Saccharomyces cerevisiae S288C: one gene and its partner. The protein of the gene in region 2 interacts with the protein of the main gene of each other region in a biochemical or structural test. Each region holds a gene or a part of one and is shown on either strand. Other genes may lie near its edges.

Region 1 (2,831 bases), on a different chromosome or scaffold from region 2:
CTGTATACCAATATTATAGCCTTTAGCAACAATGGAATCCCAACAATTATCTAACAACTCACATATTTCTCAAAAATAACACAATTTTATGAAAGTTCACATAATTGAGTTAGAGCTTGAAATACTCTAACTTACAATCAAATGAACACAAATCAGAAGCTTCTATGGCCAAGTTGGTAAGGCGCCACACTAGTAATGTGGAGATCATCGGTTCAAATCCGATTGGAAGCATATTTTTATGTATTCTAAGTATGCAACGATACCGCTGTCATCGTTAGCATGATTAGTACACTGTTGTTCTTTTTCAATCTAACAACCTTAACTTCAGTTCCGGCTACAGTACATCTATTCAACGATTGGAAAAGAAAATTTTTTTATCTTTAGCTGCAACAAGAAAAAATCAATATTAAATTTTCATTTAAGTATACAGAATGTTAACAGCGTTCACAAGAAAAGAACCGTATGGAAATATAGCTAATTGTGATTTCTAAGTTTCTTTTTTATCGTAACAAAAAGTCTTCGTCCAGGATGGTATCAACTTGCTGTCTACCGATTGGGTTATCGGTGTTTTGCCTTATTGGTTCATCAAAGTCCACAAACTCTTCTGCGACGCCCTCCTCTATCATTTCTTCTCTTCTTCTTGAAACTATTTCAACGAACTTTTGGACATGAGCGTCATTAATTGCTAGACCCTTCTGTAGCTGGAAAGTTTGCCTACACATCGGACACAGTCCTTTTGAGGTTGGTGTATCAAGCCAACGGTATATACAATGATCATGGAAGTTATGATGACATAGCCCAATCACTAAAGGGCATTGATCGCCTGGAAATTTACAGCTTGGACAGGTACCGTTATAACTGGCACGACAGATACCACAGACATCCTCGTCTTCATCATTGCCAATTGGATCGTTATTGGCTGCGTCCTCATCAGATGTGCTAGGGATGTGCCATGACCAAGCAAACACACTGTGCACTTCGTTTATTTTAACTTTCATATTTTTATAATCTGTATTGCCACTTTGCTTGTTAAACTCTCCCGATATTGTACAAAGTTTTTGAAGAATGCATTATTTTTTTATCTGCAGACACGGAAGATACAAAAGTTATCTCGGCAGCTTACCCTTTATATCGAATGCAGGCGTAGACAAAAGTGCGTTGCATAACTTACCAAGGTGAAGTGCATGGACCAGCAAAGGATAGAAGTTATTGTAAACATCGAAACCATAAACTTATATATGTATATATGAAGGCATTAAGCGTTTTATGTTTTCACAACCCTTTTAAGAGATGTCTTGGACAAAAAAGCTTCTTCGTTGGTGATAGCTTCTTTATTCCAACTCCGAAACGCCTTGTGCTAGGAAAACTACGCCTTTCCAACTACACTGCATTTCACGACCTAATCATTCACGACCTCTTTATTTATATATTTATTCTTAATTTTTTCTTCTTTCCTTTTTGTAACAATTTCAATTATTGGAAGGTTTTTCACGTTGCTCAACCGAGAATTTACCATCACTCCAGACTTGTAATGATTCTAAAAGTTTCCCTTGAGTGTGCAGTTTCTTGATTTCTTCATTACCTCCTCTTGATACTCCATTAACCAAAAGGTTTGGAACAGTTCCTCTACCGGTCACCAACTTGATATATTCTTGCAGCTCTTCCCCATGTCCATGTTTGTCAAGTTCTATAATATAGTAGTTTGGGATAAACTGATACTCATTTTCAAGCAGTTCCTTCATGCCCTTGCTATATGAACAGGTGCTTTTACTAAATATTATAATCGGAGACAAGTCTAGTATGAGGGAGTATTCTTTTTGAACATTAAAAGCTTTGGTTATTCGCGACCCTTTATCGTTTTTAATGGCCGACAAACTATCATCAACCGATGCTATGGGCTGTTGGAGTCCCACCTTCTGTTTTATTTCATTAATTTCTTCGTCTACTTCAGAGCTCCCCTTATTCGTGGTAGAAGTCGGCATAGCAGCATATTCCCTGGAAGATCCTCCAGCCATATTGTCCATATTAGTACTAAATGCTTTAGAAGTTTCCTCTTTTATCTCTACCGTCAAGAAGTTCGCATTTTGCGCTACGAAAAACACTAACAACAATAATAGCGTTGTAATGCTTAAAATTCTAGCATTTCTCTTATTGGAAGGTATCATAATAAAATTGTTTCTATATTAAACCGCTAGGTTGCTAAGGTTTCGTCTTTTCTATCTTACGATAATTTGCTTAAAAGTTCATTTAGAGAATAGATAGTGATCTTTCCCAGTATAATGTTTTCCCGATTTCGCGAACGCTCCGCCTCAGGCGCCCCGGGACGCGTCATGCGCGTTCCAGAAAGTTAACTAACTGCTAGTGCATTCAATTTCTCAAGGCGTAGTATTTGGGATCTATAAAGCCTTCGACATTAAGCACTATGCTTAAAAGCGAACAGCCTGCGCCACTACTTAAGAGCGAATCTTGTGTGGAGGGATGACTAGGTCCAAAGAGGGAGAAAAGGATCTTGCGGAAAAGTCAACAACACTAATCGGTAGCTGAGTCTGTCAGTGCATCCTTACTGGCTTACTATTTTCATTCATGCTGCAAGTAGATTATCCTCTAGTTAAATTAAACGCGGATGAACTACGCCATTAAATCCATCATAAGAAACTAATTACTACTTTTAGGAAATTAGCCAACTAAAAACTGCTGAAACGCCACATTTCACATAAAACCCCACGGAGCAGTAATGGGAGATCTTAAGCTCAGCCCAGTACATATGTCCATCAGCCTTGAATAGCCACGGTGAGTTCTCGAAGCTTCCTTCCACCTAGTCCAGAATATTT
Region 2 (2,797 bases):
TCCAATGGACTTGAATCATGATCCTCTCAAACAGCGTCTGCATCCTGCAGAACTAGTTCTCGCACAGATTCTGAGACTTCCATGTGATCTTTATTTGGACTCTAAAAGAAGATTTTTCTTGGAAAAAGTTCATAGATTCAAAAAGGGGTTGCCGTTCAGGAGAACGGATGCTCAAAAGGCTTGTAGAATAGACGTTAATAAAGCATCAAGGCTATTTGCAGCATTTGAAAAGGTAGGTTGGTTACAAGATAAACATTTTGAAAAGTATTTGTAAGAAAGAGGCGGTACGCCTTTGGGATAGCGTATCGTTTCATCGTTTAAACGAGCAAATTTGATAAGTACGGAATATGACAGTCTCATTGAGTAATACAGAATTGAGGCGTTTAAATGGTTATGGTTAAGGGTTACGGTTACGGTTTTTTATTCTTAGAACACATTTGATATATTTTTATTTATGGTTTTTTACATATAGATTTCGTTCATATATGAGGTTTTCTTTTTATATTAATTATATTTCTTCGGTTGTTACGTTATCAATTTTGTTATTGAATTATTACGGGTTATGAACGCCGTAGAAAAATAGCATTGGAGTTTGAGAGTCTGTGGCTTTTCTGTCACATCATTTTTTCGTCTAACTTAGGTTAACTCAGTAATCGTCGATTTCTTCATAACAGGCCAGGACCTTTTTTCTGTATTCCTCCATATCTGCATCCCAAAGTTCTGCTGCCACAGCGTTCAGCGGAGATCTGTTATTTGGTTCGCCAAGTAATGACTGCAATGACAATAGAATTGTTTCTACATTATACACTGCAGACCATTTCTCTTTCAGAATGTCCAAACAAATGTTGCCACTCTTATCCACGTTTGGATGCCACATTGGACTCAAAAATTTAATCATTGGCGGATGGAAAGGATAGTTTTGAGGAAACTTCAATGAAACCTTGAATTTAAGTCCACTATACGGTGTGTCTTTAGGGCCTGTAATATACCCTACCCAGTATGTTAAATCATTATCGTCTACGGGAAACGCACTAATACTTTCTGTTGTAGAACTAAGTAGCTGTAGCAGCTCATTTTGTAAACGTTTCGTCACGCAACCACCCTCTTCTACTGCCATTCTATACTAGCAAGCCTCGAATCATACAGGTTTTGTAGCACCTATAAGATGTAAAATATGAAAAATTTTTTCTGATATCTCATTTATCCAGTGTCAGAAGCATGTTTTGTGTCGCTATTAGTCAACGCTTTTTCCTTGAAAATCTCTTTCTAATAATGACATCATTAAAAAGAGTCCATTAACGTTATAAAGGAAAAATATTTCAAATTAAGCTTCATTACTGTTGATATATTGTCGAATTTGCCACGGTTTAGCTACGTATGCAGGACTATTGATTATCAGCACTGTAATAATGTACAATTATTTATATTATCCTATATCAATAACGTATATCTTTATTTGTTTTGATTTTTTCTCATTTTTCCCGTCCTAATCACTATCACTCGATTCACCATCATTGCTTTCACTGGTGTTTTCCTCGTATACGATCTCTGAACCATTATCTTCTTTTACTTCAGGTAAGTCTAGTTCCTTGTGGCTCTCTTTGTTTTCGATTGAAACTTCGTCATCAAATACAATTTTTTTGTTTGAAACTATAGGTAAACTTTCAGCTTGGGAACGAGAGCTGTTATAGCCATTGCCTTCTTCGTCGGCGTCACTTATTAATGTACCGTCCACAGAAACAACTCTTCCTGTAGTATGAACATTTCTCACTGTGAACCTCAATTTACCGTCAATGGGTTCACCATTAGAATCTACCCAGTGGCCCAAAGATCTGTTTCCAAAGGAAAATTTGCCCAAACTATTGCTTCCACCATTGCTATCCTTGTTATCTTCGTTATTATTGTTTCCATTATTTTCATCTGTGTTTATCACGTCAGCATCTTCTTCCACGTCGTTATGGACAAAGGTCCAATCCACAGGGATATTATTCTTTTTGATACTAGCATTAAACGCATCATGAATCAAAAGACCAATGTGTGAGGCGGATTGAATGAAAATGTAACCTTCCAAAACATCTCCAACTTGTGGCTGCCAAACGTATAGGTTTACATGGCACCAAGTAAATCCAAAAGGGGTATCGGGTGTGATTTTTATTAGTTTTTCTGATGTATCTTCTTTGCTTAAAGGATCAGCATCAAGAATTTTCAACCCTTCATAACCTAGCACAACACCTCCAACTTTGTTGTTATATTTCATTACTAATGGGTTCAAGTGCTGCTTCATGACACCTTGCAAGGGATTTTCTAAATACATTGGTGCCAAAGAAACATAGAGAGCAATGGGAACACGCACTATACAGTTGGAAGTTCCATTTTTCTCATCAATTGGGTTTGTAACCTGTTTTTTGTGTTTCTTGATGAACCTTGCGGTTTCGCGGTTCTCATTGGCTCTTTTTACTTGTGACATAATCCACGTTTGTCTCTTATCTTTCTGATATTATTATATATAAGCAAAAAAACGAGGGAGTGTATAACGATAGTCCCTTCGGCTCTATTTTATTGTAAACCTCCACTACATTGTCATATTTGCGATGCCATTAGTATTTTATTGCAGAAAAATTTTTTTCAAACCACCCATACACCCTCATCGGAATCTTTTCATTTCAAAGCGACAGTAATATTTTCTGTCAAGAATACACAAAGGATACACTTGCAGCTGGAATAAGCAAGATTCCACCAAGTTTCTTCTACCTGAAATACATCTATTACGGGGCCTTGATTAAAAGTAACTTAACTT

Evidence for each region. Proteins that work in one complex are often made in the same cells at the same time.
Region 1: the proteins of UBC11 (region 2) and APC11 form a complex in vitro, tested with the Saccharomyces cerevisiae proteins (one study listed by BioGRID).

The regions. Positions count from the first base shown.
Region 1 is NC_001136.10:431,664-434,494, reverse strand, and holds APC11 (anaphase promoting complex subunit 11), read right to left. Parts: upstream 999-2,831; coding exon 501-998; downstream 1-500. Other genes in the region: YDL009C (uncharacterized protein), read left to right, coding at 1,247-1,570; glutathione-disulfide reductase GRX6, read right to left, coding at 1,470-2,165. UniProt on the Saccharomyces cerevisiae protein: Probably catalytic subunit of the anaphase promoting complex/cyclosome (APC/C), a cell cycle-regulated E3 ubiquitin-protein ligase complex that controls progression through mitosis and the G1 phase of the cell cycle.
Region 2 is NC_001147.6:957,716-960,512, forward strand, and holds UBC11 (putative E2 ubiquitin-protein ligase UBC11), read right to left. Parts: upstream 1,118-2,797; coding exon 647-1,117; downstream 1-646. Other genes in the region: YOR338W (uncharacterized protein), read left to right, coding at 1-274; DNA-directed RNA polymerase I subunit RPA43, read right to left, coding at 1,487-2,467.